Linked DNA regions of Rhinolophus ferrumequinum. The protein of the gene in region 2 purifies or fractionates together with the protein of the main gene of each other region. This does not show direct contact. Links are inferred from orthologs where the notes say so. Each region holds a gene or a part of one and is shown on either strand. Other genes may lie near its edges.

Region 1 (7,423 bases), on a different chromosome or scaffold from region 2:
GATGCCCAGGGAAATCAAGGGCTGACCAACAGGTAAACACCGGGGAACAGGCCTCAGAACTGAAAGCAACATGGCAACCTTCTAGCCCCAGGCCTTTATGGCACCAACTAGAAACTTAAGGACCAGAGAGCAGGAGCAGCCACTTGCAGTGTCCGAGCCAGGGAAGTACACACTTCCAGCTCCACGCTCTTGCCAGTACTCCACCTGTCACCTCTTACCCCTGTGCCGATACGGACAGCTGTTATCTCTCAGCACCCTGACAGAGAGCTGGACTCGCCCAAAAGGCACTGGTGGTGGGGAGGGGCTGCTGGAGGGCTGGGGCCCACCCAGGGCACCTTAGTGGCAGCCTGCACAGCGGCTGTCGCAGCAATGTTGAGGCCCCGCTTCCCAACGCTGAGCACCGTTTCATAGCTGCGCTCCTTGGCCTGCACGATATATGTGTCAATCTCCTGTAGACGAAGGCAGAGAGAGCTCAGGGGACGGCTCGAGTCACTCTTCTTCTGCAGACCCAGAGAAGCCACTGGCTGCCACGCCTCCCAGCCTACCCCCACCCAGTGGGCCTGAAACCACACCAAGAGCAGGGTTCCACATTCACCTAACACCCACTCCCACACCTCAATGAATGCCCGTGCTCCAGCCTCCCCCCACTCCCCGCCATCCCCAAACCAACTTCCAGCTGATGTTTCACACTCTCAAAGTCCACTCCCAGGGGCCCCCATTTGATTATCCCAGAAGCAGAAGAATGCTAGACTCTGTCAAGGTCACACAGGTAAATAGCAGCAGGATTGGGATTAGAAACCAGGTGTCCCCCTCTTTCTCTCACACCCACCCCTGTGCTTCCCTCCCTGCCTCCCCCTGGGGTACCTTCTCATGTCGGGACAAGGACGGGTGGACAAATTTGCGGTAAAGCAGGCTGGCCCCCTTGGTGTAGGGTGAAAGCAGCCACAACACGAAGGCCATCTTGAGCTCATAGTAGAAAGGGAACCTGTCAGAGCATAGGAGGGGCAAGATCAGCCAGGGAGTCAGGCTGAGGGTGGGTCATCCCTTCCCACTGCCCACACAGCCCTGCACCCATACCAGGAAATAAAGATGTCTGTGAAGATTTCCACCGCCATGAAGAGTGCAAAAACGATCCAATACATCATCCACCGGACCTGGGAGGGGGCAGGGAGGTCAGAAGCCAGCGACTAAGCCTGCAAAGCCAACTCCCCTGTCCTGGGCTGACCCAGCCCTGAGATGCCAGAGAGCCTGTCCCGCTGCATTCTCTTGGCATCTGTATAGCCCTAGAGACCTGCCTCTGAGAAACTGCCACTCATTCCTGTACCCACCCCCAGTGGGCTTCACCCCTAAGGTCCTGCGCAGGCCCCCTAAGAGCTCATCCTCCACCCATACCCACTCTGCTCAGGATCCAACAGCCGATTATGCCCCTGGAGGAGGGGGAGGTCAGCTCAGATTGTCCCCATCTTGCCAAGTCCTACCATACCCCCCAAGGCTGTCATCCCACCCCTACCTGAGCCAAGCCCTCCTGCCAACCCCCATACTCACATATTCACGAATGTTCTTGGTCTTTACAGCCTTGTAGGAAGCATAAGCTGGGTACAGCATCCCAAACACCAGCCTAGAAGAGCAGCCCAGAAAGCAGAGGGGGAATGTGAGGGGCACCATGACCCTCCCATCTCCCCACAGGTGGCCACCTCCCCCACAGGTCTGAGGTGACAGGGCCTACCCTGTTCTTCCCGCTTGGCTTGCACAACCTGCATCTGAGTCAGTGCCCTGGAGGCCACCTCCCCACCCTGCTGTTTACAAACATCCCAAGCCTGCCCAGGCCTGTGCAGTGGCCCATGGGTGCATGATAAAGCCAGAGCACACACAGCCACTCAACAAGGCGGGTGGGAGACAGTCTTGTGAGCTGGTGAGAGCACCAGGCTGTCCCCTCCCATGGACATGCAATCAGGTTCAGGGCCGCCAGACCTGGCACTGCCAGGCTGCAGACAGGGATATTCAAACCAGGTACTATGTTTGAAAGGTGAGGAGGACAAAATGGGGAGGTGAGGCCAGGATGGTGAGTCACGTGACTGCGCATATGGGAAGCAGGCACCTGGATTCTCCGCCCACAACATGCCACGACACCTTGTGTTTGCCAAGGGGCTTAGGGCCAGCCTGTGGTTCTCCACCCCACGCACCTGTCTGCATTGTGTGTGAGTGCAGAAAGGGTCGACATCAGCCAAGGAGGCTTTGGGCGCTGGGGAGACAAGCTCGCGGTGCCGGGTGCCGCGTGCATGCCCCAGCCCGCAGATCCGTTAACCTTTGCGGTGAGTGTTGGGGGGGGGCGGTTGTTGTGACGGACCTCAGAAAGTCCCGTTTAGCACCTGACGTTCCCAGCTTCCACCCCAGGGGCGGGCTGGCACCCGGGGAGAAGGGTGTGAGAACGGCCATACTCACACCACCAGGCGACAGATCATCCAGGACACCATCCTGCAGTCTCAAGGGCGAAGGGAGCCCCCAAGAAGACGCCCCGAGAGACGCTCCGGCGGGGCTGGGATGGGGGAATCAGCAGAGGTGCAGGAACCAGGCAGGCGCTCAGGCTGCCCCTTGGCGGAGGCGGAGTTCGCCGCCCCCTAACTCCGCAGTGCGGAAAGACCAGCCTGGCTGGGGCGAGGAGACCAGAACACCCAGGAACTGACTTGGAGCGGAGGCCGGCGGGCGCGCTCTTCCGCCCCGCCGCGCCGCTGGGACAGTTACGGCTCCGACCCGCACGTCCTGCTTCGGAGAACCAGGGGTTCTGCTCTCGGCCGGGCGCCGCTGCGGGTACCAGGCAGAGGGTGGCGGGTCGTGGCCTCCTCTAGTGGGAGTGCCCGGGTCTCGCGGCGCCCTGCCTCCGGCACCGGCCTTGGGGCGGAGTTTGCAACTCACTTGAAAGTTGCACGGAACTGGGATCTGCCCAATCCCAGGGCTCCTGCGCGCTGCGCAGGAGCAGTGTGGCCCTGGAGGGGGCGGGGCGAGGTCAGTGAGGCGAGCGGCCTGCCCCTTAAAGGGGCGGTGCGCCTCCGACTCGCGGGGGGCGGGGGGCTAACCGTAGCTGCCGTCCTGTTCCGAAAGGTTAAGGGGTAGGAAGCGGTAACCAAAAAGGTGGGGCTGAGGGAGGAAGAAAGGAAGGAGTTTTGGATTCCAGCGTTCCGGGGCTCCTTCAGTGGCTTCTCCTTAATGTTTCGTTTTCCCCTCAGTTAAAATGGAAAGGGCACGAGATGAGTGTAGGTCCCCTCTTCGAGGCTCAGGCACAAGCTGGAAGAAGGTTTAGCTGAGCAAATCCAGGTCTTACCACACTGGGTCAGGAGCTCAGGATGGCCTCAAAGATGCCGAGCTGAGTAGAGGGAAAGCCGGGGTGGGGCGAGGGAACCGGAGGGACTCAGCACCCCCGTCTGCCTCACCCGGAAGAGCGACTTTCAGGAGCTGGCTTCTCTCCGGGTACCTTGCCAGAGCCCGCAAGGCTGGGCAGGCTGACCGCGAGGATTTGAGAGATTCTGGGCAGGGCCCCCAGCTCCCCATGCCTTCTTCACCAGAAATTTGAAATTCCGCCTATTCCTGGGAGCCAAGAATACAAATATCCTTGAGAGCTTAATAATATCACCGACTGCCATCTTGCAGTGCATTTTTGTATGCAGGGTCTTGATTTTTACAAAGATCCTTTTTTTACCTTGTAGGGAATACGCTCAGTGATGACAAGTCATTTGCCCACCAGCACCTGGTGGCATTTGTTGCTGGTCGGTGGATAAATGCTTGGCTGGATCAGTCTTTTTTTTTTCCGTGTGGCTTTGGGAGGGGACGGGAAACACAGACAGACGCTTCTCTGGGAGGGAGGTGTACACCTGGATGATGGTGGGAGGCTCAAAAGAAAAGGCAAACGCTGCTGCTTCTACAACTTGCCACATGGGGTTGCATTCCGTGTACCTCTCCTGCTTGGTGCCTCCTTCCTCCCTCTAAATGGGGAGCACAGCATCCCCCAGCCTGCCATCCCCCCACAGCCTCGCCTCTGCCTCAAGGGGCTAAGGGGAGGGTGACAGCAGAGCTGCCCAGAGCTGTGGGGGCAGGAAGTGGGCAGTTATTACTTTTTATTGGAGCCATAGTTAACACCCACCACCCCTCAAAAGGATGGCATAAGTAATGATGGGGGCCAGGGAAAGGAGGCTTCTTGGGAATAAATTAAAACACATTGTGATTATACTTAATTATTATCATCAGTTTTATTGGTGTTGCTGAGTGTGAGAACTAGCAGTGAAACTGGCCCTCAGGAGAAACTCCCTCGAGGCCCTGCCACCTCCCTCTCCCTACCTAACCACCCCCTCCCCTGGGCCTAGCTCCCACCCTGCATTGAAGGAACAAGAAATGCCAAGGGCTAGTATCCCACCATCCATCTCTAGGCACAGTCCTTGGAGCAGAAGGGTGAGACCGGCTCAGTAGGGGACTAGCTCCGGAGGAGCGGGGTAGAGGTAGGGAATGCAGAAGACGGAAGGGATATTCTTTCTTCAGGAGGTAATGGTACCTGGGCCGAATGTGTGCATGTGCACCTTGAGTCCTTTGGTACCTGCCACAGAACCGCCTTCTCCCCTTGTGACCTTCCAGGGTCATAAGCCTGACCTCAGCATCACAGGCCTCTCTCTACCCCCGCCCCCGCCCCCCCATTCATCGGGGAAAGCTCCTCTGTGTCAGCTATAAGCCATCCCAGCTGGGACAGTCTCTCACATGGAGACTTCTGGTCCCGATAACTGTGCTTGGGAAATCTAAGGGACAAGTTGTGAGGAGTTTGCAGCTGAGAGCAGGGCCTAGCATGCAGGCGCATGACGCTGGCAGCTGGGGGGTATCATCCTCCTCAGCTTTGACAGAGTGAGTGGATTCTGCCTCCCGTGGCCTTTGGTCCTGAGCTGTTGACACAGTCACCTGGTTACACTGGGTTGCTAAGCAGCTCTCTGGACACACGGATGACCCCCAGGGCAGATGACCAGGCAGGCATAAAGTAGATTTCATTCCCCATGTGCAGAGAGCTGGGCATTCAGGGAGAGAAGTGTTTCCTATCCTTGGGAGTAGCCCGAGGTGGGGGTGAGGAGAAGACAGTCAGAGTGATATTTATCTTGCTCCTGAGCGACAGGCTGACAACGGGTCCGGGAGACTCAACTCACTTTCCCTGGCAACCTCTCCTTGGCACAGCGTGAGGGCCCATTCCCCATTTGAACAAGCAGGAATTCCCAGAACAGTATGGCTGGGGGACCCAATGGGGCGCCTGCTAAGCCAAGGGCACTTGCATATGGTTTGAGGAAACGGAAACCCAGACACATCACCTGTGAGATTCTCCATTGTGATGGGTGGTCAGGAGCAGGGTTGGTTGGGCATCTGAGACTACAGGTAAGATGTGGGGTACGGGGGTTTTCAGACCAAGGGTGGATAAGGAACCCTAATTCACAGACAGCAGTTCTCCCTAAAGGGCACCCTTCTCCTCTCCCACAAAACAGCCTTCTCTGTGCTACCTCTGTGTCTCATATAGTCCTACAGACCAATGAAAGTCATACTTCTGTGCCAGACATACTCTTTGAAGTGTCTTGCGTATATTAATAGACTAGCTATTGAATGCATTTAAATTTCACACTAACCCTGTCAGTTAAGTATCATGGTTCTCCACATTCTACAGATGAAGAAACAGATACAAATAGGCTAAGTGATGTGGTTGAGGCCACCCAACTAGCAGGTGGCCCAATCAAGATTCGACAAAGTAGGATTTATCATCTGTGTTGCAGAGGGAATTCAGGCTCCGGGAAATCAGTCCATTTGCTTGACATCTCACACCCAGAGCAGAGGGTGGCAGTGATAATGGATATTTACCCAGCAGAGGGGGTGGGGAGGAAAGGCACTGCTGACCTTGTCCTTGGTCATGTTGATTGGAGTGACCTGACAGGGGGACAGACTCCAGTTTCAGTGGCCCCAAAACTGTGATCTCCAGGAAGGAACATTTGGGCCATGAGTCAGCTCCAGGTGGTGGGGACGAGTCACATTGGCCTAGTGTCATCACCATGAACTCCTGACCCCAGTACCGGCTGACCTTGCGGGTGTCCACTCACTCCTCGGAGGGAAGGGGGCAGGGAGGAACAGGGTCTGAAAGCCAACGCTTTCCCCCTGGGAGCAGCAGAGACAGAAAAAACACACTCGGTTCTTAATGAAACAGCTACTGCTGACTGTTGCCACTGGACACCTGAGCGCTGGCAATGGGGTGGGAACTTTTTATTTGAAGTAAGTGAATTATAGCATTGCACCCAAGTGCCCCCAGCATCCTGCCACCAGGAGCCCCTTCCACAGTCTGGGCACAGGGAAGAGCCTCCCTTCCCCCTGCCTTCTTTACCCGCCTTGCCCCTCCCAGCTATCCCCAGCACACAGCAGAGGGCAGCAGAAGCTTGGCTCCCAGGAGCCACTCCATAAGGCCCTCACCCCTCTACCACTCAGCTTGCACTGAAAGGCGAGGCCCCTGGTGTGTGCCTCTGTGGACTGGAGGGGTGCCAGGTTCCCCAAGATGCTCTCCAGCCCAGCTCTACTCCTGGCACCCACCCACATGGTTCAAGTGCTTGCAGGGCCCCTGGCCTGACCAGCTCTTGGACCCATCCAAAGGAGCCAGCACAGCTCAGGGTCCACATCTCAAAGGCGGGGCTGAACCAGGGGTTGGGGATCTGAGGTTGGGACAGCTACAGGATAGCAAAGCAGACAAGCTTTTGTCTGGGTGGCCTCCTGTCCATGGGGCCAGCATCAGAAAAGGAAAATCCAGGGAGAACAGAGCCAGCACTAGGAAGAAGTCAGGGTCTGCTGGGGCTGTTGTTACTGCTTTGGGCAGAGGGGCTTTGCCACCAGGAGGTCAAGATGGTGCCCAGAGGCTGGCACTACTATTCCCATCCTTATCAGCTGCAGGGTGTGCATACCAGGGGTGAGCAGAGGAGGACGGTACTATGTGCCCCCTCCAAGAAGAGAGGCAAGACAATGATGGGGAGCCCCTTTCAGCCGGGCTGAATCTGCATATGTGCGAGGGAAAATGGGTGTGGACAGGTGTGTGTGCGTGTGACTGAGGGTGCGGGCCAGTGTCCGCGTGTGCATGCAGGAGGAGCGGAGCGGGGGTGAGTGTGCCCACCGTAGGAAGGATGTGGTCGTGGCTGCAATGTGGGGTATAAACAGGTTAAACAGACACCTGGAGCACCAACAGGAGAGACCAGAGGGTCAGAAGGAGTAGCCCAAGACCCTCCCTCCCCGCACCCCTCCCCCTCTCCAGGCTAGTGCATGTGGAAGGCAGCAGAGCGAGGGGGCCTGCAGATGGGGTGTGGGGTCCACAGGTGTCCACAGACAGAAGGGCCCCAGGCACTGGATTTCCTGGGGCATCTATGAGTCCTCGTGCTGA
Region 2 (7,591 bases):
GACAGGTCCGCTCAAAGAGCTTGGGGTGTGCAGAAAGCAGGGGTCACAAACAACCGAGGAACAACATGGCCCAGAGAGCCAGAGAACCATGGCTGGGCTATCTCCACAGTAAAAAAGCCAGAAGCAGAGCAGCGGGAATGCAGAGAGGTGAGGCACAACCAGGAAAATGATTATGGGAAAATAGGTGCACACCGTGAGACTCACCGAGGAGATGCTGGTGTGGTTGGCCATCATGAGCCCGCTGACCCGGTGGGCAGAGGGCAGGTAGGGAGACTTCCTTGACAGGGCCACCTGGATGCTGGCTGGGCCCCAGGGGATGAAGTTGGCCAACTTCCGTTCCCGGATCCTCTGCAGGCTCTTGTGGACCTGGGGTGGGCAGAGGAGTGGTGGTGGTCGCCTCTCCTCTACCCCTGCAGGTTCCAGGGGTGGAATGAAGGGGCCTCACCTACCTGAGTGGGGTCCACCTCCCCCTGGATAATGTTGAGGATGGCAATGTAGCAGTGGTTGGTCTGGCGATCCCGGCCGGTGGACACCATCACATTCTTGGGCTGCAGCAGCCGCCTCATGACATCCAGGACCGTGGTCTTCCTCACGCTGGCCACCTGAGGCGAGAGTGGGCCACAGGGAGCAGGCTAGCACTGAGGGCACAGTGCAGGGACGCACGGACAGACGAGTAGGCGGCACGTGCCCCCACCAGACTTGGGGCAGTATGGTCTCTTTGGGGAGTGTCTTTGGATTCAGTTCTATACCGAGCCCCTGCTGTGGGATCAGGAATCTGAGCCCTCCTCAGCTCAGCAAACTCATGCCCCTGTGCAGGAGCACACGCAGACCCTGTACAGCCCAGGCCCTGCAGGAAGCCAAAGGCAGAGGGAGAGAGGAGAGCGAGTCAGCAAGGAAGTCGTACAGTCTGTGCCAGTGCCTGAGCGCAGAGCCTCTGGGGGCTGCACAGGGCAGGTCCTGGGGCAGCAGGGAGAAGAGAAAGGCTAGCTCAGGGCCTGCGGGCCCAGGGCCAGCCTGGCCTGGGACACTGAGGGCCCTTCTTACCGACTGGTCCGTGGTGAGGGGGGTGTAACCAGTCATGAGGAAGTGGAGCCGCGGTGTGGGAATGAGGGAGGCGATGAGGCCGATGAGGTCATTGTTCATGTAGCCCGGGTAGCGCAGGGTGGTGGTGCTGGCCGACATGATGGTAGACACCTGGGGACCGAGGTGCCATGTCATGCGTCTTGCCTGGGGTGGCCTCCCTTCCCCAGATGGCACTCTGAGCCAAAGGAGTCCAGGAGTGGGGCCTCACCAGCTGATTGATCTGGGAGAAGGATGGGTTCTGGATGTGCAGGCGATCTGTGGCGATCCGGTTCAGGGCTGTGTTGTCCAGCACCACCTGGGGGGACAGGAAGAGGTGGCAGATTTTTGGGAACATAAAGAACATGAGCTCTGCCTGAGCCAGGGCTCTGAAGCTCAATTTCCTCTGAGCCTCATAGCCAGAAAGACCGATCCAAAAGGGATTTGAATAGCACTGGGGCCTAGAAGATCTCAAAATGAAAGTTTTAAGTGTATGAAAATGGTGAAACAGACAAGGGTATGGTAGTAGGAAAAGGTAGAATCTAGGACTCACCACACAGTCTGCGTTCTGGGTCAGCCTTTTGAGTGTGAGCAACGAGTTGTAGGGCTGGACCACCACGTCGCTCATCTCGTCCTGGTTGGGAAACACTGAGTATGTCTGCACCAGCTTCTTAGGGTACCTGGTGGGGATTGGGAGAAGAGAGTCAGGGTGACAGACTGGATGCTTGATACACATAGGGCTTCCAATAACTGCCTGGAAGCAGCTGAATCTGGACGGGGAAATTGGTGCTGGGCCATGGGATCAGTAGAAAAGGGAGAGGTGACTTTTGGAAGTCTGTAAGTTTCCCAAAGGGCAGAGAGACATCTTAGGATCTAGGGTTCTAAATCCAAACTGTCCATCCTCGCTGACCCTTCATCTCTCCACCTAGGACCCAGATTGTAAGGTCTGGGTTCAAGCCGCGGGGGTGGCTAGGAAGGCCCTTTCCTGCTCCAGTGAATAACAAGGTATATCTGAAGGGACTCTCAGTTACTTGGGAAACCAAGTCCTCCCAGGCCCGTCAAAACTCAGACGTACCTGTCGTTCAGCCGTTCTAAGAGGTAGGAGCCCAGGCCAGAACCTGTTCCCCCAGCAATAGAGTGACACAGCACGAAGCCCTACATGGGAAAGGGGCAATCAGTGTCTAGGTTAATCTAGTGAAAGGATTTCAAACTGGACCCATCCCACAATTTCTCAGACCCCTATCTTCCACTTTCCTGCCCCCACACATAGAGCTTAGGAGCCTGCCTTATTTCCAGCAAGGTCCGGTGGCTTCTGTCCAGTGCAAAGGGTACATGGGTGGTCTTATACCTAACAGATGGCTTCTAAAGGGTAATGCTGAGCCTTCCCTATGTCGGTTCCCACAAGTAGTGCTGAGACACTCACCTCTAGACTGTCACTGCCATCTGCCTCCCGGTCTATGATGTCAAAAATGTCCTCATGGATCTTCTCTCCCTGTACAGATATGGGGAGGGTCAGAGTGGGACAGGACCATGGGACAAGGACTCTGAGCTCACAATAGCGACCCTCGATTCTCCTTATAGCAGCGAAAAGGGTTTTTTGGAGCACAGGGGCCCTGCTTTTTATTCTCATTGAGAGACAGTATGGTACAGTGGTTAGGAGCAGGCACTCTACATCCAGACCGCCTAGGTTCATACATCAGCTCTAGTTCTATTTAGCCGAGTGACTCTGGGCAGGTTACCTATTCTCTCTATACTTCAGTTTCCTCATCTCTATAATGAAGGTATTAATACAGGTCCGTATACCCTTATCCAAAATCCTTGGGGCTTATGGTTTGGAATTCAAATATTTCATATTCTAGAAAGGTAATATGATACATATAATGTATTTTAAGCAAAATGCCAGCAGGGTCTGAGGTGCCCTAACCGAATACATCAATATTTCTGCAAAGAAAGGTATGAGTAATGACAATAAATTGGATAGAAATTATAAAATAGCCTGTCTCAATAGATTTGGTTTTGCTGTTAAATCGTCTTTTGCTTTCAGTTTTTTGGATTTTGGAAAGGTAGATAAAAGTCTGTGAACCTGTAGTACTTCTAGGGTTGTTGGGAGGTTTAAGTAAGTTAATACATATTAAGTACTTAGTATGGCCTGTCACACAGCACTAGCTAGTGTAATGTCTTAAGAATATTACATAGTTGACTTAGAGAAAAGCACTTCCCTCAGTCATGTCTCTCTCCCTCTCCCACTCATACATCCTCTATCTAATTTCATCTCTCTCTAGGAAGTCACTGGGCCTGTTCCCACACAGGAAGGGCATTGCGGGTCTTGCCAGGGAATAGCAAACGACCTGGGAGAATCCGCTGGCCCAGTTGTTGCCAGCTCCTCCTCCATGCTCCGACAGGTAGATGTTCTCTGGGTTGTAGAGCTTGGCATAGGGAGAGTTGAGGATGGAGTGGATCACCCGGGGCTCCAGGTCCAGCAACACAGCCCTGGGGATGTAGTGCTCATCGTCCGCCTGTCAACGGGAGTCCAGGAGGGGGCCCACTCAGCTGAGGCCTGCCCAGTCCTCGGTCCTCCCCACTCTGGCTCCTGCCTGCCCTCCCGCCTCAAGCCAGCAGCCCTGGCTCCTTTGCCCAGCGGGGTTTCCCAAGGCCACTGCCCATCCTTTCAGGCCCCCTGGCCAAGTCGCTGGGAGCACCTGGTAGAAAAAGACGTCCTTGCGGTCAGTGCCCTCGGTGGCGAATTCCTCCACGATGCCCTCGGGGCTGATACCATGCTCAGCGCACAGTTGTTTCCAGAACTCGAACCCAACTGGAGGGGGGAGGCGGGCGGAGGAGAAAGAGGATATCTAGGTCTGGGCAGGTTCCAACTAGGAGCTGGGGGACTGAGCGCCCGGGTCCAGGGATAGGAAGTCAAGGCTCAGCAGACTCCCATGACAGAGGAAATAGCTGTATGCCAGCGATTGGGCAGGGAAGGGCTTTCGGGGTTGGACAACTGAACACTGGGTCAGGCATGTCCCGCGTTTTGGAGAACTACGATTCTGGAAAGGGCAAATGGGAGTCCAGTATCCCACAGCAAGACCCCATTGAATCTAAGGAACCTGACTAGCGGAGGGGCCGGAGGTTCGCTCACTCTGATTGCCGCACTGGCCCAACTGTAGGGTGATGATTTCCCTCGGCATCGCTCTTCAGGCACCGGCGTTGCAGTCACTCCTGCTAGCAAAGCCTCCGTGCGCCAGCCCGCCTGCCGCACGACGCAGGCGCCAAACAACCCGCTCCGCCCACGAACTTTCTCCGCTCCAATGAGAAGTGAGTTCTGGCGATGGCACTTTCTTATTCATTTGGCTTCACTAGTACCGACTGCGCGTGCGCGGCACCGGATCGGGCTCGGAGCTGGTGAGAGGGGAGCATGGTTTGACGTAGCGTTCTGTCTGGGTGGAAGCCAACTAGAACCCAAGCGCAGGCGCAGTGTGGAGGGAAGCGGCCTTCCCCGGCCAAATCGCGCATCTGCGCAGTCGGTGTTATTGTGACTGTCGGGCCGCGGCCCCGGATGTGGTGGCTGAAGGTGGGAGATGGCGGAGGCAGAGGGGGTGGCTGGAGCGCCAGGCCCAGTTTCGGGGCCGACTTTCAGGGGCCGCGGCGCTATGTCGGGCTCCTTGGAGCGGGACCAGCAGGTTGAGGCGGCGCAGCGGGCCCTGGTGGAGGTGCTGGGGCCTTACGAGCCTCTGTTGAGCCGGGTGCAGGCAGCCCTGGTGTGGGAGCGGCCAGCCAGGAGCGCCCTGTGGTGCCTGGGGCTGAACGCGGCTTTCTGGTGAGAAACTGGACCCTCAGAACCCCTCCGCGGAGCGAATTCGTCAGGTTTCTTTAGGGCACTACCTCTCGCCTCACCTGTTTTCTTCGCTGCACTGGCTCCTTCCTATCTAATTTTGCCTCACTTCCACTTCATCCCGCCTGCAGGCTTTGGCATCGCAGTTCTCCGTAGGGCCTTCCAATTGTCTTCCCTCCTTTACCTGCTCCCGCACCCTCGCCCCGCACATCTGGATCTGGCAGGAGCATCTAGTAACGCCTTGAGCCGTCCGCGGTGAACGAGGGCGCCTCATTTTATCCAGGGAAAGCTGGGTCCCTTTAGGGCCATCACCTCCCTTCTCTTGTCTGCTCAAATGTGGTTTGAAGACTGTCTCTAGAGAGTTTAGTAGTTGTTACTGGGGTAGATGCGTGAGGCGTGAGGTCTTGGAATGGTATCCATGGGTGTGATAAGAAAACAAGGTCGATTGGTCTGAATTAGAATTAGCCCATTCACGGAAGTTTGTGAAGTCTGAACGTCAATGAGAGGCTCCAAAACTGCAACTTGAAAGTGGTAAGCTTTTAAAGAACAGTTGTGAAATAGTGATTGTGAGATTTCACCCGGTTGAAAACCCCTTAGAATTGCAACTCTCCTTGTTCCAAGGAATTGGTGAGAGGAGGCATCCTTAGCCGTGGCAGTTGAGGATGTCTCACAGTGCGTGTGAGTTTTCCTGAGCTGGGAGTGGGACTGTAAATATATTTTGAGACTCTGTATGTTTCATGCTCTGTGAAATGGAACTGTGGCTTCTCTCAGTTGTCATTACCTAAAGTGGACTTCGGTCTTCACAGGATCTGCCAAGCAGATCGAGGGAAAGATTATTGATCAAATTCCCAGGGAACTGACGTGTAGGGGTGGGGGTGCCTCTCCAGCTGAATGAAATAAGACTATTCTGGATAAAGCTGAAACAGAACAGTGTGTATCCAGCAATTTTTGGTTCTGCTAAAAATACTTTCCTCTTAAAATTCTTGGTTTTAAAATCAAAACGTAAACAAACAAACAAACAAACAAACAAACAAACAAAAAAACGTTTAGTATCCTTTCTCTGAAAGAAGGTTTGTCAGTCAGCTGGAGCAAAACAAATAATTCCACGTTCGTGATCAGACAGTGTTCAGCTATTAGGTTAATCCTCTCACAGTTTGAAGGAGACTCAAGTTAAAGTTGTCACAGTAGCCTCTGCCATTTGTTGCTTCCAGAGTCTTTAGCAAGCTTGATAATAAACTTTTTTTTTTTTTAACAGCATTCTTCTTCTTCTTTTGTTTTTTGTTGGTAGTGCTTCCTTGATCCCCAGTTCCTTAACTTCTCTCCTGTTGCTCCCTGTCAGGAACTCTGAAGTGTAGCACCTCATCCAGGAATGTTGACCAGAATGACCTTTTCTTCTCCTACCGCCTCCCCATCCTAACCCCTAACCCCAGACCATCCTGTCAAAACTTCATTCCCTACATTGGGATTGTACTCCGAGGAAAAAAAATTGGTCCTCAATAAACCAGTTTGTATCAAAGTGTGACTGGCTGATACATGAAAACTTTATCCGGATTGAAATAAACACCAAGGGTTTATTAATGCCGATGGATCAGTTGCATGTATGTTGTTATTTCTGGGACGGGGACTTTGCACATATCCCTTGCCTGAGAGAGATGTTTGAAGTGGAATGCAGGTGAAGGTCTACACGTAAGGAGCTGTTGTTCTGACGGAGCTACACCTTTCAGTGTTACAGTGTTAGCTTTAATGTTCAGGCCCGCAACAGTGTTTACGTAAGTTTATTAATAGGCCGTATTTGGAAGCTCCCTCAGATCCCCTTTTCCTACTCCTGGTCTCTTATTAAAGCATTGTGATGGGTCTTTATCTCTGGCGTTTCCTGGTAGCTTGCCTGCTGTGTCTCCAGAACAGTGCCTCTCGTGATTCCCATCATACGCTAAGTAGGTGGGGGAGAGAGAGAGCGAAATGAGGGTGTGACTCCTGAGATTGAAAGGGCAAAGGAGTGTGCCATTTATGGAGAAGACTCATACCTGTGAAGGGTACAGAATGACTGACAGTCCGGAGGCTGAGGGAGTTTGGCGCTGGAGTTCACAGGATTGTTTGTTTTCGGGAATGTGCTTTCTGGGAAGGTAGTTTGAGGCGCAGAATGAAAGACTTCACATTGCAGTAGCGTTATATTGAAGATGGGTGTCTGTTTACGTTTCAATTCGGAATGTCAAAGAGTGACAGTTTAATTCTTGGACATTTGAAGTGTTTAGGAAATGAAAGAGAAGAATTGGCTCAGGTCAGAGGAATCAATTCTGAAATATTTTTCTTTTATTATTGTTTTGAATAATAATATATCACTAACTGAGGTGTTTTATTCATTTTGAGGTATTATAAGATTGGGTAGGAGTAGAGAAAATCAGAATTCAGGTAGTCACTTTCACTGTTCTGTATTATCAGTGAAGGTTTTTCTGTACCTGTGAATGTGCCCTCTTAATAGAAACAACAACATCATAAAGGTAGAGATAGATGTAGATACCTCGCTACTATAGTATTTCAAGGCCTTCACTCTTGTTTTTTTTTTTCCCCCAAGTTCCAGAGAAATGGTGATCATATCAGAGATCTGCCAGCTTATATTGCTCCTGGTCACTGATATGTTATTATCTCTAGCATAATAACAGACATGTCAGGCCCCCCTCTCCAATTGCTTGTTTTTTCATTAACCTC

What was found.
Region 1: the proteins of RETREG3 (region 2) and REEP4 purify together in Homo sapiens (affinity purification with mass spectrometry; 3 studies listed by BioGRID and IntAct, with this or other methods). This does not show direct contact. The link is inferred for Rhinolophus ferrumequinum from reciprocal best matches to the Homo sapiens genes RETREG3 and REEP4.

What each region holds. Positions count from the first base shown.
Region 1 is NC_046301.1:44,281,916-44,289,338, reverse strand, and holds the start of REEP4 (receptor expression-enhancing protein 4), read right to left. Parts: upstream 3,001-7,423; 5' UTR 2,475-3,000; coding exon 2,443-2,474; intron 1,619-2,442; coding exon 1,546-1,618; intron 1,155-1,545; coding exon 1,078-1,154; intron 986-1,077; coding exon 865-985; intron 450-864; coding exon 336-449; intron 1-335. UniProt on the Homo sapiens protein: Microtubule-binding protein required to ensure proper cell division and nuclear envelope reassembly by sequestering the endoplasmic reticulum away from chromosomes during mitosis.
Region 2 is NC_046304.1:38,319,619-38,327,209, reverse strand, and holds the start of RETREG3 (reticulophagy regulator 3), read left to right. Parts: upstream 1-4,574; 5' UTR 4,575-4,631; coding exon 4,632-4,870; intron 4,871-7,591. Other genes in the region: TUBG1 (tubulin gamma-1 chain), read right to left, coding at 1-19, 205-366, 450-602, 1,045-1,194, 1,292-1,378, 1,613-1,739, 2,135-2,214, 2,483-2,551 and 3 more. UniProt on the Homo sapiens protein: Endoplasmic reticulum (ER)-anchored autophagy regulator which exists in an inactive state under basal conditions but is activated following cellular stress.